Linked DNA regions of Drosophila melanogaster. The protein of the gene in region 1 purifies or fractionates together with the protein of each later gene. This does not show direct contact. Each region holds a gene or a part of one and is shown in the gene's direction. Other genes may lie near its edges.

Region 1 (7,202 bases):
CGACTTCAGCTGGGCAGCTATTTGCAGCAGTACGTTCTGCTTCTGGGTTTTGGACTGCGTTTTTGGTGCGGTGGGCGCTGGCTGGGCAGGCTTCTTCTTTTTCTTCTTCGATGTCTGACTTGGGTTTTGGGAAGCTATGCCGACTGGTTGGGACGCGTTTTTGGATGGAGCTGGCGATTTCGAAGGCTGCTGCTGTCGCTGAGGCGCTTTTTGCTGCATTTTCAGGCCTGCATTGATATCTTTATTCGGCGCCTGAGACTTCTTCGTTTTGGCCTTCTTTTTGTTTTGGCCCGCTGGCGCAGGTTGTGTGACTACCATTGTCTCCTCCGTGGCTTTTACTTTGGCGCGCTTTCGGCTCTTCTCCAGAGCCAACATTGTCTTGTGATGGCAAACATCGCAGTCCACGGCCTGCAAAATGAATTGGGTTGTGGTTAGAGTGGCAGGAATGGGTCCATATGTACACACACAAAACACTGTATAAAGATCTTTCAGCTTCCTTGGTGTTAATTTAAATTATTATTTGCCCAGAAGCTTGATACATAAATTTATATTGCGCTTATAAGGTACTAAACTATCCATCTATACCATTCATCCATGGAAGCAAAGAGATATTATATTTATATTTATGAAATTAAAGAAATAAAAGTATTTTTTCCCACAATCTAGACATATTCTAGACATTCTATTAGCTCCTGGTTCTCACCATGTTACTGGCCATACGCTTCTTGAGCCACTTGGCCCGTTTCCTGGCCCCGCTGTTCATCTCGCCCTTTGCCATCTTGCCCTTCACGGCTTCCAGCTTGGTGATCAGTCTCCGGTTCTTAGCACTCTGCATCAGTTCTTGTGGCTGGAGGTGGAGCTGGTAGCGGCCACCTGTCCACTGGTTCCCGCAGCGGGAGCACATGCGTGCGGGTCCAAAGCTCTCCTCGGGCAACTGGACATTGTGCCGGGCCAGCTTCCTACAGGTGGTTCTGGGTTGTTTTGGAAACGAAATTTTAGTGGGTGCTTAAGGAATTGACAACGGATCTCACATGTAATAGGATTTGAGGATCCGTTCTGTGTGGGTTTGGTCGGTCAGCTTGGAGGCACAGTTCCACAGCAAATTTACTGTTTTTTGGTCACTCATGGCGGACGCTGACAATTTACTGAAAAAACAAATTCTATATATTTAAGCGTAATTATTTCCAGAAATGTTTTCCTACATTAATTAACGAAACCCCAACAGAAAAGCCAAACTTAAAGAGGTAGCCTAAATAGAGGAAACATGCCAAAATTCTAGCCAAAACATACAGCACTGACGGCACAACGTGTGCAGCTCACCAGAGAAATCAAAGGTGCATTTCAAGCCTAATTCCAGGTTCTTAACTTACCAGCTATGCGTGATAAATATTGAAAGTGATACGTGGTAAATTACGGTTGGATATTCATATTATAACATCAATAAAAACCCTTTTTGATAACGCTTTAAGAAAAATAAACAGCTGTCGGCCGAAATTAAACCGGTAAATATGTGTGATTGGTGAACCGGTTTAACCATTGATGTGCGACAGAGCTGCCACCCTGCCAAATACGACAAAGTGGCAGCCCTTGGCAACTCACCACTGGCATTTTCTCCCCAATTTCGGTATTTCGTCGTGGTCAGTTGAGGGTCCTATGGCATTTGCGCGTCGTTTTGAAATTATTCAACACATCTGAAAAGCCAACCGCCGAAACGAGCAGAAGCGACGCGCAGAATTTCGAATGCAAACGGACGCGCAACCCGCCAGTGAAAAACAAACATCAAATATCGCCAACGTGGAGTGTCGAGCAGTACAGTGAATTCAATAGCATAGTGCGCGCAATCACAACTCGCATTTGCATTTGCAGCTGCAGCAACAACAATGGACCCGTTTACTCAGGTACGAGGCCAATTCGCACACAGCAAAGCCCTTTGTCTGGTGATTGCACTGGTGTTAGTGAAGGCACCCGCGGATTTTCACTGCTATTTCCCATTTTCCCTTGCAGCACATGCTCGAGAAGGCGGAACAGCGCAGTCGCGCCCTTGGCATCAGCAATGCCAGCAAATTTCCGCTCGTCGAGTGCAGCGTTCCAAGCTCCTCCGCCACCTCCGCATCCGGCGGGGATGCTGGGGTCCTGGCACCGAGGAGCCGGTCGCCTGGAGGCCAGAGCGCGGCTAGCGGCGGCGGCAAGGTCGTTACGTTGGGAAAGGCCACGCTGGAGGCGTCGCCGGCGAAGCCGCTGCGTCACTATACGGCGGTAAACAAGGAAAACTTGGATATGGGCATAGAGATAAACATAACCACGGACAAGCCAATTGGGGTAAGTTTTCCCGTTCTTTTCTGGGTTCTTCCCTTTTGCTCATCCTTGCTGCACTACCTTCAGGTGCAAGTTGAGATTCAGGAGCAGGAGGTGACAGATGACGAAGAGCAGGCGGAAGGAGGTGCGCTAAATCCCCTGCTGGAGGCGGAACCAGTAAACCAGCCCCTAGCCAGGCTAAGGGACACTTCCCGCAGCCGACTGCAACGCATGGGTGCCCTGTACTCAAACACGGACGATCTATCCTCCCCAATCCACCGAACCGAGGGGCAGTTCCATGTGACAACGGGTGAGGAAGAGGACTGCGGCAACCGTAGCAGCAGGCAACCAAAACAACGGTTGGGCAAACTGGCCGCCTTGGCGGATACCATCAATCAGTGGGAGGATGACACGTCGCACCACGAAGTGCACAGACTGCTCGAAGCACCTCCACCGAAACCGCATTTGTCCAGTCGAAGGGCCGAGAAGGGTCCAGCTCCACTGCCACCCAAGAAGGATGAAGTCGACGAGGCAAGCAGGACCAAGCAGCTGAAGTGGGATCCCAAGGTATTGAGCTCTCTGGAGGCACAAGGTTTTCAGCGCCGCGAATCATCGACCATTAAACACACATATGATTATGCCAAACAGGAAGAGGCGGCCCCAGCCTCCAAAGTGGAAGATGCGGTATTAACTGCCAAGCCGCCAGTGCCGCAGAAATCAACGACGGTCAGCCAGGTCGCCAAGAACTTTGCATCTTCCGCCCCAGCGCCTAAGCCCGCACCAGCGCCTGCTGTTAGTGTGAAGTCCGGCTTGGTTTCCGGACGGGCGGCTCTCTTTGAAAACAAGGGAACCGGAGGACAGTCGCAAGGCCTACGCAACCAGAAGGATCCTTGTGAGCTGTCGCTGAAGGAGCGGATGAAGCTGTTCGAAACGGGCAACAACAAAGCGATGTTGCCGATGGCGCCAATAGGATCTGCTCCCAGTATTACCCAAATCCGAGCGGAAGAGGTGAAACGTGAGTTTGGCAGCCCTTCTATATTCATAATAGCTACTCATACTCATTTTTTTTTTGTTAACAGAACATTTAGCTGCAATGCATCCGGTGACTGCTGCCGCAGCTACTACCGTGGTTGCAGCAACCAAGCCGAAACAGGAAAACAAGCTGCGTGACAAGGTGGCCGCTTTGGTGGCAAATGCGCAATCAAGTGCAGAGACGCGTATCAAGGACATTGATCGCCAAAGGCAGGAAGACATGCAGATTATTTCTAATCGCTTTAACAAACAAAAGGAGCTCTTTGACAATCAACCATCCGATAGTTCTGTGGCTGCTCAAGCTCGACCTCCCGCGCCAGCTCCCAGCAGAGTAGTGCGGCCCATGCCACCGCCTCCACCACCGCCCATCGCTGCTCTCTCGCCCGGACTGGCCAGCAGCAAGAGGCGATCACGTAAGAAATGACTAAACCCTTTATCTAAGGACTTGTCCTTATACATCCGCAATTTCAGCTGGTGATGCGCCCACCACTGACGAGGATTCGAAGCGAGCCCGCAAATCGCATTCGGATCGTCTGTATCCCGCCCTGTCCGACCTCGACTCCAGCGGTGACAACTGCTGCGCCGCCGAAACTGCCTCCGCTACGGATGACAGCCATCAACAGGACGAGGAGGAAACCGAAAGGTGCGCTGAAAAATGCTATTCCTGCTTGCTATTTCTGCTCTGCATCGAGTAGCATTCCAAGACTGATAGGCCTAAGAGACATAGCTTTAAACCCCATCCCCTAGACAAGACCAACAATAAAATCGCTTTCTTAACTAACCGTTTATCTTTGATTCGTGCAGTTGCATGGATGAGTCCGACGACCAGTCACAGACTGAGGACAGTAGCGCCGGCATGTGCAATGGCAGTCTTGGCCGCGAGATAATGAGCGCAGTGCAGCGCAACGAAGTGGAGATGCAGCAGCAGCAGACGGGCAAGAAGGTAAGTGCAGGTAAAAACTGTCAACACAGCGGGTGGTCACCATTAACACGATTTCACACCTTTCCAGACTGTGCGCTATGCGGACCAGGACATGTATTACGATGACAGCTCTCTGAACTCGTCGCAGGTCTCAGCGGGCATCGATGATTATCTGGATGAAGCACTTGTCGAGGACTACGGCAGCACTCAGGATGACCAGAGCGACAGCGGGGACGAGCAAAATGCCAGTCGGCTGTCCTTGGGCGTGAGTACTTGCTGATTAAGTTTCCTCGTATATCAAAACAATTCTTTAATTACATTTTCAGAGCAAAGGAACGACGGCCTCAAACAGCTTTTCCTTCCGAAAAAATCCTGCCTCTATTTGCACGCCTATCGAAGAGCACCATGAGATGGAGATGGACCTGCAGACGCCACTGCTCAGTGGTGCCCAGCCGGTCAAGTCTGAATTGAGTGTCAACCAGGACAACGACAACCTGGTTACCCTGGTGCACACGGTCAGCTTCTATCGCCGCCAACAGAGCGCTAACGTGAGTTGATTACTTATATATCACAACTAACAAATTCTAAGTACTCGTTGTTTATAGAGCTCCAATTCCACACCGGTTCGCAAGATCTGTCGAGAGCAGCAGGTCATGCGATCAGCCCTAGCAGGCGATTGTCATGCCAAGCACAGACTGGAGTACGACTCTCCTCAGCAGTCTGATTATGTCGCAGCAGCAACTGACATAGCTGATCAGACCGACGAGGACGATGAAGAGATGCAGAATGCGCGGGAAGTAAACGATGCATCGCAGGCACAAGACAAGATCAAAAAGCTGTTGAGCGAGGTGTGCAAGCAGCAGCAGGTGATAGGACAAGCCAGTCAGGCCCTCAACCTTTGTGCTGCCACCGTAGAATTCTCCGGCTCCACAGAGTCCGTGGAGGGAGAGCGATATCTCCTTCTTGCAAGTAAGTGTGATCTTCAGTGTATTCAAGTATAAATTGCCTGTTCGTTGAATTCCAAACCGAATTGGCAATTTGAATGTCCAATTAAGCTGAACATCTCTTTAATATCCTTGCAGCCCATCGACGCCAGGCGTGTTTGGATGAAGTCCAGCGTTTAAGAGTTGAGAACAGTATTCGTCCGGTGGGTGCACCAAAAGAAAAGGGCCTACTGACGGTCAAGGACATAACCATTCCACTGCGACAGGAGTACGTGCGTAAAATGGCCTCGAACAACATTAACGGCCATCATCTTGTGTGCCTCCTGAAGTACAATGAGCACGTGCTGGCCACCAAGACAGTACCCACGATGCCAGGGCTGCTGTCTGTCAAGTTTCCCGATGTCCTGCAACTAAACAATGTATATGCTGACTTCAGGGTAAATATTGCTTTTTGCTTCTTTAGCCAATATTCGATTTTATTGCGAAAACTTCGTCTGCAGATCACGCTAGAAATCTATGGCATGTTGGCCCAACGCGATCAGCTGCCTCACGAGCTGAAATACCACATCAACTTGAACAAGAAGGGTGGCATCAAGACGCCAAAGAAGAAGGGCGGCGAGAATCGACTGGTGATGCCGCCAGTACAAAGTCCGGCGGGACCGCATGTGGTACGGACACCGCAGCTGGTGCAATACGGCTTTGCCATTTTCTCGCTGCGTGAAATTCAACGCACCACATGGACGCTGACCCAGGTGCTGGGCGTCAGTCCACTGGAGGGTGTGGTTCACATGAAAGTCAATTGCGAACTATCCGTAAGCGTGGAGTACAAGGGATTCCTTACCATGTTCGAAGACATCTCCGGTTTCGGGGCATGGCATCGTCGTTGGTGCTATCTGAATGGCTCCGTGATCAACTACTGGAAGTACCCGGATGATGAGAAGCGCAAGACGCCAATGGGTAGTATAGATCTGAATTCCTGCACTTCGCAGAAGGTGACCACGGCACCGCGCGACATTTGCGCCCGTCTCAACACCATGCTGCTGGAGTGCGAACGGCCGGCGCTGGAGACAGACCAAGAGTCCTTGATAATCGTACCCAACGGACGTACCACCACGGTGCGCCATCTGCTCTCAGCCGACACAAAGGAGGAGCGCGAGGAGTGGTGCGCCTACCTTAACAAGGCACTGACACTGCTGCGCGCCTGGGGAACCACCCACTGACCCGCTGACCCATTGCAATTTTGTCAGCAGCACGGACAATGACCACAAACGGGCGGGTTGTTAACAGTTTTCTCTTTTTAAGTTACTCAATTTGCTATTTTAATCGTGTTCGCATTGGTATTAATTTTGTTTTATGTTTCCAATTCAAATTTTTCGTTTCCATCTTGGAGTGGGACACGTTCGTGTTCGTCTATATCGACATAACTTTTTACTTATGTACATTTAATTTAGGATGACTCGCTAAATATATATGTGTAAACCCCCGTAAAAAGAACTAACGCCAATTGTACACTGATTATTTAATATAGTTTATTGAATACTTTTATACACGTAGTACACATTTACATTCACATATGTATATCGTTTTGCAAGAACTCGTGGCTAAGAAGAAATCGCTACGTGGCTTCCGCGTGTTAACTATCTTTTTATCTCTGACCATCCGGAATCTAACAACAAGTGAAAGTTAAAGCTTGCGTGTTATCACGACGCCGGCTGTTCTAGTGCCCATCTCGGCTTCGGCACCAGGTTTTCTGTACTGTGTAGGTGGTTCATGTCAGGTAGTCAGTGTGTCTGCTCCTTGGCCATCTCAATTGACTCTGGGTGGAAGATTGTAACTTCCTTGCGTTTGTCACTTGGCCTAAAGGTCGGCCTAAAGGCTATCTACAAAAGTGGATTACGCATTGCCGCCGGCGGAGTGTTCAGTGTGGGTTCCTCTAGTTCACAACACTATCAAATGTATAGATATATATTTCTCGTATAGGTATATATGTATGTATATATTTTGACTTG
Region 2 (3,826 bases), 370 kb from region 1:
GCGTGGTCTGCAAAGCATCTTAGATTAGCCAAGGCTAACAAAATAAATACAAAAATAAATCCCACCTATATTCCGGTCTGGTTGTGGACTTGTACACCGGCTCCACAATGGCCATCTTGTCGTAGATGATCAGGCGCGGCTTATGGTGCTTCGCCTCGCGTGCATCTTCAGGCGTTCGGAAGCAAACGTAAGCAACCCGTTCATCCAAGTCGTGCGCCAGTCGCACGCTAAAATCGCCAAACTTCTTGTACTCGCGGTACAGTGTCTCCTCGATAAAATCGTCCGGAGCCTTTGGCGGCAGGGCACTGACGCAAAGTACCTTGTAGCCAGCTGGTCGCTCTGCAGGCGGTGGACCACGCATGTAGGGCTCCCGGTGCGGGGAGCCATAACGACTCGGCGAGCGGTCCAATCGACGTCGCATGCGCTCCGGCGACAGGCGCTCCGGCGAATCGCCAGGCACGCCGCTGCCGTTGTCGTACCCACGACCCATGCTTCGCGAGTTGCGCGACAAACTGCTCCTGGAGGCCGGGCCCGGGGAGCGCGAGGCGCTACGCTTCATGTTGTGAATTTTGATTGTGATACGATCGGCTCCGGCTCCGTCTCGATGACTACTCATGGGCGGCTATTCCGGGGCGCTTTAACTCGGTGTGTGCTGCCTGAGAACTTTCTGGCAATTTAGTTCCGGGGATTCTGCGAAGAATTCGAGATTTGCTTTGTGAAAGTACGGGCGAAATGCAAGAAGACAAGCGGCGGTCAGGTAAAAAGAAAATGGCGGCGCCCCGCAAACAAAGAAAATCGCGTTAGGCGGAAAAATTCTAAAATCAGAGCAATTCAGATCGTTTTTAGAGTTCTTACCACTTCCGGCTTTTTTGGATGTTTATTTTTAAGTGCTAGTTTACTATTAAGTCGCGGATATTCCACAAATTCTTCAATTTCCTCCGGCTTTGCAAATTCTGTATGCGTCGAAAGTTAACTGCGGTATTCGATAACGATACGTGTTTGCTATCGCCATTGATGGTCCCGTTCATGGTATCGAGCCATATTTGTCCATTTTATAGCCAAACGTTTGATTCATTTTTATATAATGACATAGTTATAATCATATATAATTTCAATGTAGTTTTTAATAGGTTTCTATTTCTGTAATATATTTCGGCGAACTTAGATATAACAATAAAAGTTTTTAAGTTTTAAGATCATAAATCTTTAAAACACGCGAGATTAAGACAACGCGATATACGTTTTGTAAAGGATTTTTTTATGAGGTGGAGAACTTTAAGTTGGCATTACTGTTCAAAATCGCGACCGACTTAACATTTGCCGTGTTATTGCCGATATATGACCACAAATGTTGGAAAAAGTCATCGAATATAATACGTCCAGATGGGACTTCATTCGAGCCAGCCGTGGCGTCATAGTCCAGAAATCATATATAAAATGTACTGTCGCAAGACTATCTTTCTGATAAATAAAATTCATTTTGATCGAATAATCCATCGTTGTTTAACTGCAATTGATAAATGTTAGTTGAAGCTGCTTTAATCGATATAGTCGCGCAGAACTGTCTCGATAGACAACTGAGGCGGGCACCGCATTTAAAATCGTCAAGGCTGCAGGTAAAAGGAATCACAGGTAGAAAACTCTTAGATACAGTTTAATTCTCGGTACGCCACCAGATGCAGGAAAATCCAAATGGCTTATTAAGAAAAACGACTAGGGTTTACACAGGCTGCACATACGAGAATTCCGGGTATAAAGAGTGGCGCCTGCGCTGGGTCGTGACATTATTCTAACGAAAGCACTGGCGAAATGGTTCATTTAGTGACTGAAAAGAAGACGCAGGAGGTGGCAACCAAAGTCCCCAGGCTCCTTCAACTCGGCGGCCACGTGGGGTTCGACACCCTACCGGACCAGCTGGTCAACAAGAGCGTCCAGAATGGCTTTAGCTTCAATATCCTATGCATCGGCGAGACCGCTCTCGGGAAATCCACTCTCATGGACACACTGTTCAATACCAGTTTTGGATCTACACCGAGCCCGCACAACCTGCCCAATGTGAAGCTGAAGGCAAATACATACGAGCTGCAGGAGAGCAACGTCCGCCTGAAGCTGACCGTCTGTGACACGATCGGATACGGAGATCAGGTTAATAAAGCGGACAGCTACAAGGCTTTGGTGGAGTACGTGGACAGCCAGTTTGAAGCGTATTTGCAGGAAGAGCTCAAGATCCAGCGAGCGATGGCCAGTGCTCATGATGGACGCGTTCACGCCTGCCTGTACTTCATCTGTCCCACGGGCCATGGTCTGAAAGCTATGGATTTGGTGTGCATGAAGCAGCTTGACACTAGGGTGAACATCATTCCCGTGATCGCGAAGGCCGACACCATCTCCAAGTCGGAGCTGTCGGGGTTTAAGGAACGCATAATGGACGAACTACGGCGGAACAATGTGAGCATATACCAGTTTCCCATGGACGACGAAACCGTGTCCGAAACAAATGCTGCGATGAACGGCCATCTACCCTTTGCCGTTGTTGGCAGTACGGAGTTTGTAAAGGTGGCCGGAAAGCAGGTTCGTGCCCGCCAATATCCATGGGGAGCGGTGCACATAGAAAACGAGGCGCACTGCGACTTTGTGAAGCTGCGCGAGATGCTCATTCGCACTAACATGGAGGATCTGCGCGAACAGACTCACACACGCCACTATGAGCTCTTCCGCCAGCGGCGCCTACAACAAATGGGCTTTGTGGACGTGGACAGCAACAACCAGCCGGTCTCCTTCCAACAGACCTTCGAGTCGAAGCGATCCGACCATCTGGCTTGCCTACAGGCCAAGGAGGAGGAAGTGCGCCAAATGTTCGTTCAGCGGGTCAAGCAGAAGGAGAACGAGCTGAAGGACAACGAGAAGGAATTGCATACTAAGTTCGACCGGCTAAAACGGGAGCATTTGGAGGAAAAGGCCCAACTGGAAGAGGCCCGTCGGCAGCTGGAAGAGGATTGCCAGGAGCTACAGCGTCGTAGGCTCCAGATGGCCAATGGTTCGCACACTCTCACCTTGGGCAGGGGCAAGAAAAAGTAGTTAAGTTTAGAATGTTTTCGATTTTACTAAAACTGCCTATGCGATTAAATTTCTACAAACCTTACCTATGACTCCACTCCTATACCAAGAAGTATACTAATTTTGATATTTTATTTCTTTTTATTTTAACGATCTATGATTTCCAATTAAACAGTTTATAAATAAATTATATTGAAAGAATTTTAATTTAGGTTACGAGTTCCAGTAATTTTAGTTGTATAATTAAATACAATAAAAATATAAAAAACAATATTGAATGCGAATATGTCTAGCATATGAAAAAGAGTATACATTTTTCAGTAATTTAAAAATACCAAAATATAGAACGTTTACATATGTATGTATGTATGTACATAATGAAGGTTATGTTTGGACAGCGTTCTCTATAATCCAGCCCTAAATATCGTAATTACCAGACTAAATATGAATTAAATGGGATACTTTTCGCGGAACTGTTTTATGACGGTCATAACGCATATGTCTCTTCGAAATTTGATCGCTTGGAAACCCTGGATTAGTCGAAACAGCTGTAAACGAACTTCAGGTTTTTCAGCCCTTTCCGCTGGCCGCTTCTTCTGTGGATGTGGACCCGGCTGATAGCGATAGCAATAGCTAGCTCTCCGCTGTTCTCGCCGCCTCTCGCTCGTTCTCTGGCACGCCAAGTGGAAAAATGGGAAACAAAATTATAAATATGCCAGCAGCGCGGATCGGAACGCAATGGTTAGTCATTCTGTGTGTAGCGATGGCA
Region 3 (6,732 bases), on another chromosome or scaffold:
GTCGTAAAGTGCCAAGCATACTGTAAAACGAAAGCTTTGGCATAACGGTTCTAAAGATTCTCCAATAAAAAAGCGCATCAACATCTTGAATATTCTATTTTGAGAGACACACTTATTTTGTATATTACCAATTGTTAATTCAAGTTTTAATATCTTCTCTTACATAAAATGTTCGTCAAAGTGAAATTAGATGCCGAGGGAAACACAAGTGTGGTATGCAGTTATCTTAAGCCCGCACATATTTTACAATTGTGGCTTATAAATGGAGCTATAATAATTGAAGCTTAAATTTAATAAATACATATTTTCATTTCTCAATCCCATACAGATGCCGGAAATGTTCGAGCTCCACAATAATGCGACCATTGGTGAATTGAAGCAAAAACTGGAGGTAAAAGTAGGTCTTCCCTTGGCTCGCCTAAACGTACAGAGTTTTCACAAGTCTCTGGAAAACGATGAGTTTATTACAAATTTGCTCAGAATTCCGGATAAAAGCGATTATACTTATCCGTCGACAACGCTTAATGGTACAGCCTTTTCGCTGTACCACGAAAATTCCTTTGTAGGATTTCTCCAATTCTATACAATTCCAGAGGGCAAGAGCCAACTGGATTTCCTTAACATGCCGAAGAGCTCTATGCTTCTGCCAGTGGACAGGCTTCCGCAGTTTTGCGAGGCTTCGAACTCGCAAGATTCCTCCGCATCCAGTGCGTCGAACCAGACGAACGCCAGCTTCGAATCCGCAAGCACGAGCGCCAGCTCCGTAGCGCGAAAGACGAGAGTGTGCGCCTCCGATGAGGAATCGGCTGCCAAAAGGTGTGTGTTGTGTGTAATAACTATATATGTAAATGATAGGGATACCCAACTGATTCATTCACAGAATACGAAGCAACCAAGAGAACAGCGTGGTCAAGGTGGTTCCGCAGCAGAATCTGCTCGCGGACAAACGAGCCGGCAGCATGGCTTCCATATTTGGTTCGAAGATCCACCTGATGAACTGCTGCAAGACGGAGACCAGCCGCACAAGCTGCTCAGTGGAGCAGGCCGAGGAGTGCAAGGAGAGGAAGAAGGACTGCTGCACGCCAAAGAATTGTCGCAAGAGGGATACTCGGCCGCCGTATGCGAACACAATGCCCGAGAACCGACGTTACGCCTTGGTGATAACTAACCAGAGTTCGTGCTCGGATGGTGTGGACACTATCGCCCTAATGGAGCACTTTCATTCAATATTCGAGGACAGTGGATCGAGCGTCAGCGATCTCAATTTTAGTGAGTGTGCCTCAACGCAGACATTCGACTGCAACATGCTGGTGGTCTGCGAGGATAACGAAACGGCCCAATGGGTCATCGAAGCAGTCGAAGGTGTGGAGCCGCCCCACTCCTGCCAGCCCTTCATTAAGTTCTTCGATCTAGTGAGGACGACCTTTGTCCTGCCCTTGGTCAGTCCGAATAAGTCGCTCTGTGTGATCTTCGCATTACTGGAGTCACAGAACCCGGGCTTGAATACCGACAGATGGGCCGTCGTTAATCGCTCCACTTTGGACTGCCAAGACGTGGAGAGGCAGGTCGCTCAATTCTGCGACAACGTCCTTATTGAGGTGTATATCGATGAGGATAGCAGGGATTTCATCGCCGACCGGTGTTCCAAATTGCGATACTGTTTCTGGCAACTTAAATTCGATTTTATATAGGACTTTTTGGGCTTTCCAAATTCACTGTTAACTTGTTAAGATACTCCTCAATTGCAGAGAGTATTTACTAAATAGAAATAGTAAAATTTTATGAAGTGTACGAATGAATAAATGTTGTTATAAATTGAATTTTTCCTGCATATATCGAGCATATAGGCCACAAGCAATTTATACTATATTACATATTTATTTATTATTAAATACGTACATTTCAACACTTTTTATAAAAAATACAGGAGGAAAAAAAGCGCGGCAAAGTCGAAAATGGAGTGACCGCACACTCGGCCCGTCCGCGAATTGGTGACTTCGCGCGTTGGTCACACTCGCGAATCCAGTGCCCACAGGCAGAAGCAAAGAAAACCACCACCCGAGGATTAGCGGACAGGAGACTGCCTCTCGGCAGCAGCAGCATTAGCAGCAGCAGCAGCCATTCCACATGGAGCCCATTGACATTGCGCGTCTGGAGGAGGCGGTCGTGTCGTTCTACCGCTCGAACTCGCAGAACCAGGCGATCACCCATGAATGGCTTACCGATGCGGAGGCCAGTCCACAGGCCTGGCAGTTTTCCTGGCAGCTAATGCAGCTCGGCAAGGTGAGTACCACGCAGGACCTGCGCATCAATGCATCAATTACCCGGATATGTATACTCATGCACCTACCGCCCACCCAATCACCCCACCGCCCACACAGAGTCAGGAGGTGCAGTTCTTCGGCGCCATCACGCTGCACTCCAAGCTTATGAAGCACTGGCACGAAGTGCCGCCAGAGAATCGCGAGGAGTTAAAGCAAAAGATACTCGAATCCATCGTTCGCTTCGCTGGCGGACCGAAGATCGTCCTCAATCGGTTGTGCATCTCGCTGGGCGCTTACATCGTTCACATGCTGGGCGAATGGCCCGGCGCCATCGAGGAGGTGATCAACACGTTTCAGAATCAACGGATGCCAAATGTCAGCGCCGATGTGCAATTGTGGATCATGCTGGAGGTGCTGACCGCCATTCCCGAGGAAGCGCAGGTCATACATACGTCTGTCAAGCGGGTTGTTCTGCGCGCCGAGATCGCCAAGCGAGTGCAGTTGGTCATTCACACCGTTGAGCGATATCTGAAGCTGCAAATGAACCGCGTGTGGGATGCCGAGGCGTACAGTAACATGAACAGGGCCGTTAAGTGCGTCGGCACCTGGATCAAGTGAGTATTCAATTTACAAAATTATTCTTTACACGTTCTAAGTGAGTTTCCAACTTGGACAGAAACATCGGCTACACCATTGAGGGCTGCGTCACCATCACCGCCGTGCTCCTGGAAGTGGTGCACAAGTGCTATTGGCCCTGCATACACGCCGGCGACGGCTGCATGACCGCCGATGAGAACGAACTGGCCGAGTCCTGTCTGAAGACCATGGTGAACATTATCATCCAGCCAGACTGCCACAACTATCCAAAGACGGCATTTGTGCTTATAAAAATGTTCCTGGACTCGCTATCCGAAATCACAAAGACGGAATGGAAGAGGGAGAACGACAACGAGGACATTATCGTACATATCTACATGCTGTTCGTCTCTTCGGTGGAGCGACATTCGACGCTGTTGCTCAGCGGCATCACGTCCGCGGATCCGGAATTGTCTATCCTAGTGCATCGCATCGTGCAGGAGATTCTCCACTGCACGGACAAGCCGGGCATTTACCCGGTGGAGGAGTCCTGCAGCACAATGGCCTTGGCGTTTTGGTATATGCTGCAAGACGAAGTGTTCGCCATGTCTAACGATGAGCAGAAACACAAGTGCTGGGAGTACATCAAACCATTGTACGCCCATCTAACCAGGATTTTAGTAAGAAAGTCAGAGCAGCCAGACGAAAAGTCGCTCGCCAAGTGGAGCTCCGATGATTTGGAATGCTTTAGGTGCTACAGACAGGATATATCCGATACCTTTGTGAGTGGTTGCAACAGTTGGAGTGTCTCCAAATCGAAAGGATTGGCTACCGTTTTCAACTATTAACAAACAGGCATAATATAGCATTTATTTTATTTATTTTAGATGTATTGCTATGATGTGTTGAATGACTATATCTTGGAGATTCTGGCTGCCATGTTGGACGAGGCCATTGCCGATCTGCAAAGACATCCCACACACTGGACAAAGCTGGAGGCGTGCATCTATTCCTTTCAGTCGGTGGCCGAGCACTTTGGTGGCGAGGAGAAGCGGCAAATACCACGGCTGATGCGCGTGCTGGCCGAGATTCCCTACGAGAAGCTCAATGTCAAGCTACTGGGCACTGCGCTAGAGACAATGGGCTCCTATTGCAATTGGCTGATGGAGAATCCGGCGTACATTCCGCCAGCCATTAACCTACTGGTGCGCGGCCTCAACTCCTCAATGTCAGCACAGGCGACGCTCGGCCTGAAGGAGCTGTGTCGCGATTGTCAGCTGCAGCTGAAGCCGTATGCGGATCCGCTCCTAAACGCATGCCACGCTTCCCTAAACACGGGCCGCATGAAGAACTCCGATTCGGTGAGGCTTATGTTCAGCATCGGTAAGCTAATGAGCCTGCTGCGGCCAGAGGAAATACCCAAATACTTGGATATTATCGTCAGTCCCTGCTTCGAGGAGCTACAGGCCATTTGCCAGGCAGATTCGGTGAGTAAATATAAATATAAAATATATAAAGAGATCAGTTGCTAACCATTTCTTTTGTTGCACTAGAAAACTCCCGCTGCTCGAATTCGCACAATCTTCCGGCTCAATATGATCTCCACTCTCTTCTCCTCGCTAAACACGGATGTGGACGAGCAGGCGACGGACCAACCGATTGTGCAGCCAGTTCTGCTCGTCATGCAGCGCACGATGCCCATCTTCAAGAGAATCGCCGAGATGTGGGTGGAGGAGATCGATGTCCTAGAGGTAAGGCAATAAACACAAAATTTTGCATATTTTTAATAAAATGTTATCGTATTCATATAGGCCGCTTGCAGTGCGATGAAGCATGCGATAACGAATTTAAGGAGCAGCTTCCAGCCAATGCTGCAGGATCTTTGTCTCTTCATTGTTGCCAGCTTTCAGACCCGATGCTGCGCTCCTACTCTAGAAATATCCAAAACGGTGAGCCTTACCAATATATTGCAAATGACTGAGTGATCTAATAGAATCCTTTGTTTCAGGCCATTGTTATGTTCTTTAAGGACGAAGGCTGCAAGCCGCTGATGCAGCAACTTCTGAGGGAGTTCATCCAACACAGCTTTAAGCTATTTGAGAGCACTCCCGAGCAGAACTTCTCCAACATTTCGGACACCATGGAAACCTTCTTCGGCTGTCTGACGCAGATCATTAAGAAAATCCCTCAAGTTTTGGAGGACAAGACACTGGCCTACGATCGTCTGGTCTTTTACGCCCAGCGTGGAATGACTTTGCCGGAGAGTGGTGCCATCCGAAATAGCATACAGTTTCTTACCCACTTTGTGATGCAGTCGCGTAACCATGCTCATGTCACAGAAGTTGTCCTGGCCACCGGCGAGCAGACGCTGTACACGGCGATGATGTGCGTGGGCTACCTAACGCCGCGGTCGCAGGTGGATAAGTTTGCAGACATCCTTCTTGCCATGAACAGAAAATATGCCGCCGAGATGGCCGTCTGGATGAAGTCCCTAATGTCCACTCCCAATTTCCCCACACAGCTCATAACCGACGCGGATAAAACGCGCTACACTGCTCTAATAATCAAGTGAGAGGCGTTACTTATATATAGATCCTTAAAGATTGTATTAATTTTATAAATTTTTTCACAGGGAAAAGGTCAACAAGAGGTTATTGCAACAACATTTGTCGGAAATGGCAATGAAGACCCGAGGACTTACAGAAAAGTTCCAGTGAAATGAGTGTATGCAATAAGTGGCCAAATGACATCTTTATCCATCCGGATTTTGATCTAGTTTCTATAATTGTATTTAGTTTGTATTTAAATAGGCCGTCAGCTCTGTAAATTGTCTCCAATTTTAACTTAAGTTCAAAAGTTCTCGACTTGATAAACTTTTATTTATAATTTTTACAAAATTACATGCTCCATTTACAATTTGCACATATATATTGTTTTAAGGGTGTATAACTCATTTTTCATTTATTGTTTTCACTTTTAGTAAATGTTTTATAGTTTTTGTTTTTCCCATATATATATATATGTTTAATTCTTATGTTGAAAAGTTTGATTTTCACCGTTTCCTGTATGAAAAAATCTGCCTTTCTAAGAATTACTTTCCCTTTACCTCTCCACCCATATTATTGTTTTGCAATTTTCCACATTGTGTATGTATCTATAATGCCAAAAATATGTAAATACATCTCTTTATATAATATATATATATATATATATATTTGTGTCTATAGCTAAACTGAAGCCTTTCGTTTTTGGCGTGTACAGCACTTGGTAGTGGTAGCAAAACTCTTTTGATCTGCTTCGTCGCCTTTGTCTAGATTCTAGATTAGTTGAGAGTATCTGCATAAATCCTTGTCTAACGGACCCGGTAATGACTTGACTATGGAACTAAACGACTGGTTGACACGGATCCAAAATTACAGTTTAACATATAGATATAGATTAACGTATAGAAGTAGACGCTACGACCAGCAATTTGTCCCAGTCTGTTGTGGTGACGTTGTAAGGATGCTTATAGGTTATCAACTGTGCTTGGTGGACCAGAAATTGGCACATCTCTATTCCTTGGCGGTCCGCAGGATCATCCACGGCCAGTCCAGGACAAACAAAAATGCCTAATTCCTTTTGATCGGTGTTCAGGAACACGGTTCTCCGCACATATATATATATATATATTTCTATATTTAATAGGTAGTACATACAAAAATACACTCACGCACATACATACCACAATTTATGTGTCCTGCTGGGCGATTTGTTTCATATAAATATATTATGGGTATGCTGCTCTAACTGCTAGGCTAAATAGCGTACAATATTTGCAAATTTGAGTCGTGGAGTAGTAAACATGTTTTATATAGTATGTGTGTATAATAGTGGCATGTGGCATGAATGT
Region 4 (7,494 bases), on another chromosome or scaffold:
TCCGCTGACCAGGCTCGTCTGCAGTGGCGCCTTCTCCTGGAAACAGAGGCCGCTGACCAGCAGCTGCAGGATAACTGAAAAGGATGTGTCACTCTTTCTAGGCAGCCGATCGTCCGTACTCACCCAAACCAATCGCAGTCACTCTCCGATCCATGATCTCTCTCGGAATAACCTGACCACTCCAGTTGCATTGCCCTTTTATACGCGGTGCATCTGTGATGAGATGTGTGGGATCTCGTTCCCGGTTTCCTCATTAGAATAACCCATGCAGTGGCCCAAATTTGGGATGCCTTTCTTTCTTCTGTGTCCATCTCCATCTCCATCCCCAGCTCCAGCTCCAGCTCGAACTCGATCTCGATCTCGGATCGATCAAGCACCGTTCTAATAACTGCGCTCATTAATTTGCATATGATATAAATGCTTGTAGGGGCTTTGTGGGATCTTTCCACTTCTCATTCCACTTCCATGATCGTTCTGCCAGCCCTGCATTTTTCCAAATGAATTCGAAGAGTTCAATATCCCGCGATATTGCTGCTTGATATATGACGACATTTGAATGCAGATGAAGGTTGGTCATGCCACTGAACAAAAAAATATTCAGCAAAGCTCTTGAGTTGGCAACAAATTTTTTGGAAATATGTGCCCTTGAACTTATTGTATTATCGTTGAGTTTCCGTCTTTAGAACTTATCTTTACTTTTTACGAATGTATTTCTCCATCTCGCTACAAAGCAAATCAGCCTCTGCCTCTTGGTTTCCTATTCTTAATGCTCGACTATTTCTTTCGGTGTGCGATTAATGGGTTAGGAACTTTTTCGTTTGGGTGGGACTCATGGTTTTTGGGTTCCGTTATAGGTCGTGTGTCGTAGACATGTTTACGAGTCGTCTGATACAACAAAATGTGGAGTTCTCTGTTACATCACCCGTTGGAGTATTTCTGGATCGGGAAACCAGTTCCCCACTCTATTAGACCGCTGAATGGGGATTAAAGAAAGAGTGGATCAAGCCGACAAAAGCAACGCCCCCAGGGAACAGAAAGTCAATGACTTCATAGTAGGGAGAAACCGTGTTATTGCAGGGATATTGAGCAAAGTATAATTATAATGACTACACACTCATTAATATTTACAGTTTAATTCATTTTATATCCCCCAGCTAGTTTATCTAATCATGAAAGTATCTGTAGAGGCTTGCCCCGCCACCCAGTCAACTTTGGCAACTCTCTTATCATACAACATATACTCGTGTCAATTGGATCCCAAACAGTTCCATGAGATCTGCACTCACCTGCCCTCCAACTTGTGGATTCCTTAAATAGACGTAGCATAATCTTAGGCGATGGTTGGTTTGTCAAAAGTGCTAAAGTGATTGCAGAATGACTGCAAATGGCTGTGCCCATTGGGTGATGTATTCGTATATGGTTTTCGACATGATCGATATCCACTTCCATCTGCCCTACGTGCAATTAAACAATTATGTGACAAACATCGAATCACGGCGAGCTCGGCTCCAACGACTGGGACGTGTCTGCCGGTCTCTTCGAGAATTCCTGGGAAGTCTTCCCGGCAAACATTTCGCAATTAGTCAGGCATTCGTTCCAGTTCCACACAGCAAATCCCCTTCCAAGTGGCGCAGAGTGGATGGAAACACACAATAGTGGCGGTGGAGGCAATTGCAATCTAGTGTGTGTACTTACAATGTTTTCATTCGGCAATGACTTATTATTTAGCACACTGATAGCTGATAACACAGTGCTAATGTGAGCTGGAGCACTTTTCTGAGTCGGGGTTGTGAGTTTCGAGCTCTGACTCACTCAGAAATGTCCCGAAAGCGCGGCAGTCATCTAGAAATCTTGAAAGCATTAAGTTATAATTTACATTTTGGAGAAGCAAGTTTATGAAATTAGCTAATTGTGGAGCAAGAACTAAGTAAAGGAATTCCTTATGTACATTGAAATCAAATCCTTGATCTTCGCAATAATGGATACTAAGGACTACATAGAGTAAGCAGTGCTAAGATAAAGAAAGTGAATAGATTATAAATCATATAGAATAATTCTTGATTAGTTATCTAAAAACCAAGAAACTGGTTCGCGTAGCTAGGAGGAACCACATTATGAATCAACTGAAAACATTGGGTTGCTCGGAATGATGGGAGATGGGAACGCATATATCTTTAGGATTGACGCATGCGAAAAAGACGTATCGTGATCTCAGGTACTTGGAACTCCGGAATACAGCCGATCCGGAATTCTTTGGTGCGCTGCGTTTCTGTCATGGTCTCCTAAATCGGGTCCCGAGTTTATTCGCGAAAGGCACTATCTAATCGGGGACTGATTGGCGGCATTGCCCTCCTCATCGCAGTCATAGGTATATTATCGTTGATAAATGTGCCGACTAAAAAAAAAGAACAACACAAATTCCGACGAGGCCAATTGATATGTGGAGAGGAGAAGTATTGATGGTTAAAACGCCTCAACTGCCAGCGGATCGGTTTAGTTTGCCAACGGAGCCGTCAAAGGGCGGAATATGCGCGGAATCTGACACATCCTCCAGAGAATCATCAATTGGAGCTATCAGTGGTGTTTGTGCAGTAGTGTTGTGGAACAAGAAGAATCGAACAAACATGGCCAGGTAGAAGAAGCGTGATTTGAAGAGAATCCATCTAGAGATGTGCAATTGTTTACTCAGTGACCTAGTGAAGTGTCCTTGGATAATCCCACAGTTATATGACCAGCATTTCTTAGGAATCTTAGAAATCCTACCAGTCACAAATCCATTGCATAATCGTTTCTTTTATGGTTTTACCCGCCGCGTATCAGCAGAACTGGAGCAGTCGTCCAATAAAGCAAACTCTTACCACTTGCCCACTTCCCTTGGCCCCATGAAATATGGCATTGATAAGGTGAATTGCACCTGCCCACCATTACTTCTATGGATCTATAAATACCCCAGATTGGGTATTTGCATTGGGACTCATATAGAATATTATATTGGATATGTCTGATGAGATCATTTGGAATTGATCAACAATATCCACATTCACGAGTCACTATCATTTGCCTGATTCATTTCCGCAGGACTGTTATAAAATATTGTCGAATAGCGAAAATCTTATCTTTGGGGTTTCGGCTTTCTATGGGGCTTTTCTGAATTGGTTTTCAAGAGGTTTTTCCTAATCAAGGTGGTTAAACATGGCAACCCTTTCAGCTGGGCAGTCCGATTAGGTTCGTCAAAGATAAGACCTATGAAGAGGATTTTCTTAGGAAGTTGAAAAATTAACAATGAAGCAAGCACCAATCGTTTCTGTGGGATCTGTATTTAAGGAATCATTTTGATGCTTATGTGAACCCCTTTCTTTGCTTTAGTTTTAATTCCCAACTGAAAATGGAGACGGGCCTGCACGAGCGTGATCGTGCTGGAGTCCAGGACTTTGTGCTCCTCGAGAACTACCAGAGCGAAGAAGCCTTCATCGGGAATCTGAAGAAGCGGTTCCAGGAGGACCTGATCTATGTGAGTAAAAATAGTTAAAGAAGATAGGTCAAAATAATGATAACGATATCCCCTTTCGCAGACCTACATTGGCCAGGTGTTGATCTCCGTGAATCCCTACAAGCAGCTGCCCATCTACACCGATGACCATGTCAAGGCGTACAGAAACAAGCACTTCTACGAGATGCCCCCACACATGTGAGTCTCAAGACCAAGTTGCATTGAACCACCAAATAATGAGCATTCCTGTCCAGCTTTGCGGTGACTGACAACGCCTTCCGTTCGCTGATCGAGGAGAACCGCGGCCAGTGCGTGCTCATCTCCGGAGAGAGTGGTTCCGGCAAGACAGAGGCCTCCAAGAAGGTGCTGCAGTTCATAGCCGCCTGCTCCGGCAACCAGACGACCGTCGAGGGCGTCAAGGACAAGCTGCTAAAGAGCAATCCCGTGCTGGAGGCCTTCGGCAATGCCAAGACAAACCGCAATGACAACTCCTCGCGGTTCGGCAAGTACATGGACATCCAGTTCGATTTCAAAGGAGCTCCGATCGGAGGCAACATCCTAAACTATCTGCTGGAAAAGTCGCGAGTGGTGGCTCAAATGGGAGGCGAGCGCAACTTCCACATCTTCTACCAACTCTTGGCCGGCGCCGACGAGGCCCTTCTGCAGGAACTGCGCCTGGAGCGGGCTCTGGACACTTATAGCTACCTGACAGATGGGGTAAGTGGGCAGCCTGGAGGGTATTGACAATTGGTCTCTGATCTTCGAGTTCTAATCCACAGCTCAATGGCACCGTGACGAGAATTAACGATGCGGACAGCTTCAAGCAGGTCCAGCAGGCTCTCACTGTGATCGATTTCACCAAGGAGGAGCAGCGCGAGATCTTCGGAATCGTGGCCAGCATTCTGCATCTAGGAAACGTTGGCTTCACTGAGGTGGAGGGCAATGCCAAGGTGAACAGCAGGGATCTGGTAGTCACCGCTGCTCGTTTGCTGGGTGTAAACGCAAGCGAACTGGAAGCCGCCCTAACGCACCGCACAATTGACGCTCGGGGAGATGTGGTGACCTCACCACTGAACCAGGAGCTCGCCATCTATGCCAGGGACGCCTTGGCCAAGGCTGTCTATGATCGTCTGTTCTCCTGGCTGGTTCAGCGCCTCAACATCTCGCTGCAGGCGAAGGAAACGCGGGCATCCAGAAATAATGTGATGGGCATTCTGGACATCTATGGCTTCGAGATCTTCCAGAAGAACAGCTTTGAGCAGTTCTGCATCAATTTCTGCAACGAGAAGCTGCAGCAGCTGTTCATCGAGCTTACCCTTAAGTCGGAGCAGGATGAATACCGCCGGGAGGGCATCGAGTGGATACCTGTGGAGTACTTCGACAACAAGGTGATTTGCAATCTGATCGAGGAGAAGCACAAGGGCATCATCTCCATACTGGACGAGGAGTGCTTGCGACCAGGAGAGCCCACGGATAAGACCTTCCTTGAGAAGCTCACCCAGAAATTGGCCCAGCACCACCACTACGTTTGCCACGAAAAGGCGCCCGCCCACATCAAGAAAATCATGCTGCGCGATGAGTTCCGCTTGGTGCACTATGCCGGCGAGGTCACCTACAGTGTCAATGGATTCCTGGACAAGAACAACGACCTGTTGTTCAGGGATCTAAAGGAGACCCTCAGCAAGGCTGGCAACGGCATTGTGAGGAACTGCTTCCCGGAGAAGGAGCTGCGCAGCCTGAAGCGTCCGGAGACGGCTATCACCCAGTTCCGGGCATCTCTTAACAACCTCATGGACATTCTGATGTGCAAGGAGCCGAGCTACATTCGCTGCATCAAGCCAAACGACCTGCAGACTGCCAACGTCTTCAACGATGAGTTGGTACTGCACCAGGTCAAGTACCTTGGCCTGATGGAGAATCTGCGTGTGAGGCGAGCTGGTTTCGCCTACCGACGAACGTATGAGCTCTTCCTGGAGCGCTACAAGTCCCTGAGCAAGTCCACCTGGCCCAATTACAAGGGTCCCGGTGGCCCGAAAGCGGGTGTCCAGCAGCTGGTGAAAGATTTGGGCTGGGACGAGGAAAAGTACAGGGTGGGCGAGACGAAACTATTCATCCGCTGGCCGAGAACCTTGTTCGATACGGAGGATGCCTACCAGGAGAAGAAACATGAGATAGCGGCCATCATCCAGGCCCACTGGAAGGGATTGATGCAAAGGAGGAAGTATCTGAAACTGCGTGCTCAGGTGATCATAATGCAGAGCTATTGTCGCCGAAAGTTGGCACAGCAGGCGGCCAAGAAGCGCAGGGAGGCCGCCGATAAGATTCGTGCCTTTATCAAGGGCTTCATCACCCGGAACGATGCCCCGAATGGCTTCAATGAAGAGTTTATTGCCAACGCCAAGCGTATGTGGCTGCTTCGACTGGCGAAGGAGCTGCCCACCAAGGTACTGGATAAGAGCTGGCCCCATGCCCCTGGGCACTGCGAGGAGGCCTCCGGCATCCTTCACCGCCTGCACCGTCTCCACTTGGCCAGGATCTACCGCCTTAAACTGACGCCGCAGCAGAAGAGGCAATTCGAGCTGAAGGTCCTGGCGGAGAAGGTCTTTAAGGGCAAGAAGAACAACTACGCGAGCAGTGTGTCCACTTGGTTCCAGGAGGACCGCATCCCCAAGGAGCACATCCAGCGAGTCAACGACTTCGTGGCCAGCACCTTCGGCAGCGAGCAGCTTAAGTACCAGTCCTTCTGCACCAAGTTCGATCGGCACGGCTACAAGTCCCGCGACCGCTTTATCCTGCTGAGCAACAAGGCTATATATGTCCTCGACGGCAAGACCTACAAGCAGAAGCACCGCCTGCCGCTAGACAAGATCGACTTCACGCTGACGAACCACAACGACGACCTGATGGTCATCCGCATACCGCTCGACCTGAAAAAGGACAAGGGCGACTTGATTCTGATCATTCCGCGCATAATCGAGTTCAGCACGTATATCATTGACACCGTGGGAACTGCCTCCATCGTCTCCATTGTGGACAGAAATTCGTAAGTTGCACATCGGTTATCCCAGTGGTTTTCTCTTGACTAAGTGTTGCATTCGTTTCCAGGTTGGAGCACAACGTAGTCAAGGGCAAGGGCGGCGTCATCGACATCCAAACCGGCGCCGAGCCCGGAGTGGTTCGTGATAAGGGCCATCTAGTTATCGTAAGTAGTGCGAGCTCCAGCTCCTCATGAGGAAACGCCCATTATCGTGCTGACCTCACACACCAAATATTTCTTTTCAGATTGGAACGCAATAAGGAATTTACTATGACTTTCTTCAGAAAAGTGGCTTTAAATCAAACGACCTTGTTTTGTTATATTCGTGTAATTTATAGTGTAACTATGTATTTTTGTTACTGCAGCACCTGAGAGTTGTGTATTCGGATTTTATATGACTAATGTTCCAACTAAATGTATATTGTTTAAAAATACATATAAATATATTACAATTTGTATATGAATTGGGTTCTTATCACTAACTTGTGGTTTTTCAAAGAGGAAACGTGGCAATTTTTCTAGTCTCTTATATCGTTTCTTTCAAAAAGAACCGCCCACTCGATTGGCAAAAGCAGCAGTCGATAACTTTGCTTTGAAACGTCAGTTCGGTGCTCCAGACTTTAAAAATCTCGTTAAAGTCGTGCCCAACTCACAAAAGAAGATTTCAGCTAACGTTACTACTGAAATTCATGTGAATTAATATACCACTAACAATTATTTAACTGTAAATTATAGTTGGGAAAGTTACTTACTCATTATTCAAGTATTAAGTATTTTTAGTATTTATTTGCGTAAGTTGAGAAACAGCTTAGTACATTGCGCATACGGTCACACTGCTACCTTGCTGTCTTTTTCTTGCTCCAGCACTTTTACATAATCTTGAAAACTCAGCGTAAATATCGCCCAAAATACGAGACCTGCACTCGTGCACCGTCTGCAGAGATGCGATACTAACCCGCTGCGTTTC

What was found.
Region 2: the proteins of scra (region 1) and Septin5 purify together in Drosophila melanogaster (affinity purification with mass spectrometry, with the first as the bait; one large-scale study listed by BioGRID). This does not show direct contact.
Region 3: the proteins of scra (region 1) and cdm purify together in Drosophila melanogaster (affinity purification with western blotting, with the first as the bait; one study listed by BioGRID). This does not show direct contact.
Region 4: the proteins of scra (region 1) and Myo61F purify together in Drosophila melanogaster (affinity purification with mass spectrometry, with the first as the bait; one large-scale study listed by BioGRID). This does not show direct contact.

The regions. Positions count from the first base shown.
Region 1 is NT_033778.4:7,588,564-7,595,765, forward strand, and holds scra (scraps), read left to right. Parts: upstream 1-1,555; 5' UTR 1,556-1,880; coding exon 1,881-1,898; intron 1,899-2,004; coding exon 2,005-2,319; intron 2,320-2,382; coding exon 2,383-3,310; intron 3,311-3,374; coding exon 3,375-3,740; intron 3,741-3,798; coding exon 3,799-3,970; coding exon of another isoform or gene 3,971-4,022; exon of another isoform or gene 4,023-4,106; intron 4,107-4,131; coding exon 4,132-4,270; intron 4,271-4,337; coding exon 4,338-4,514; intron 4,515-4,575; coding exon 4,576-4,797; intron 4,798-4,854; coding exon 4,855-5,218; intron 5,219-5,331; coding exon 5,332-5,630; intron 5,631-5,693; coding exon 5,694-6,413; 3' UTR 6,414-6,679; downstream 6,680-7,202. Other genes in the region: CG1360 (uncharacterized protein), read right to left, coding at 1-408, 704-971, 1,032-1,126. UniProt on the Drosophila melanogaster protein: Required for cytokinesis. Essential for the structural integrity of the cleavage furrow and for completion of cleavage furrow ingression and proper formation of the midbody.
Region 2 is NT_033778.4:7,959,633-7,963,458, reverse strand, and holds Septin5 (septin 5), read left to right. Parts: upstream 1-1,537; 5' UTR 1,538-1,616; exon of another isoform or gene 1,617-1,676; 5' UTR 1,677-1,809; coding exon 1,810-3,078; 3' UTR 3,079-3,326; downstream 3,327-3,826. Other genes in the region: nito (spenito), read right to left, coding at 1-7, 66-616; CG2915 (uncharacterized protein), read left to right, coding at 3,749-3,826.
Region 3 is NT_033777.3:18,178,742-18,185,473, reverse strand, and holds cdm (cadmus), read left to right. Parts: upstream 1-1,994; 5' UTR 1,995-2,127; coding exon 2,128-2,283; intron 2,284-2,381; coding exon 2,382-2,878; intron 2,879-2,940; coding exon 2,941-3,622; intron 3,623-3,727; coding exon 3,728-4,327; intron 4,328-4,393; coding exon 4,394-4,591; intron 4,592-4,651; coding exon 4,652-4,789; intron 4,790-4,848; coding exon 4,849-5,408; intron 5,409-5,424; exon of another isoform or gene 5,425-5,472; coding exon 5,473-5,557; 3' UTR 5,558-6,199; downstream 6,200-6,732. Other genes in the region: CG7208 (uncharacterized protein), read left to right, coding at 329-816, 881-1,691.
Region 4 is NT_037436.4:1,322,629-1,330,122, forward strand, and holds Myo61F (myosin 61F), read left to right. Parts: upstream 1-1,934; 5' UTR 1,935-1,942; coding exon 1,943-2,001; intron 2,002-2,488; exon of another isoform or gene 2,489-2,624; coding exon of another isoform or gene 2,625-2,632; intron 2,633-3,366; coding exon 3,367-3,511; intron 3,512-3,572; coding exon 3,573-3,688; intron 3,689-3,744; coding exon 3,745-4,207; intron 4,208-4,269; coding exon 4,270-6,533; intron 6,534-6,595; coding exon 6,596-6,692; intron 6,693-6,772; coding exon 6,773-6,787; 3' UTR 6,788-6,989; downstream 6,990-7,494. Other genes in the region: CG9184 (uncharacterized protein), read right to left, coding at 1-74, 124-154. UniProt on the Drosophila melanogaster protein: Unconventional myosin that functions as actin-based motor protein with ATPase activity. Binds to membranes enriched in phosphatidylinositol 4-5-bisphosphate, and can glide along actin filaments when anchored to a lipid bilayer.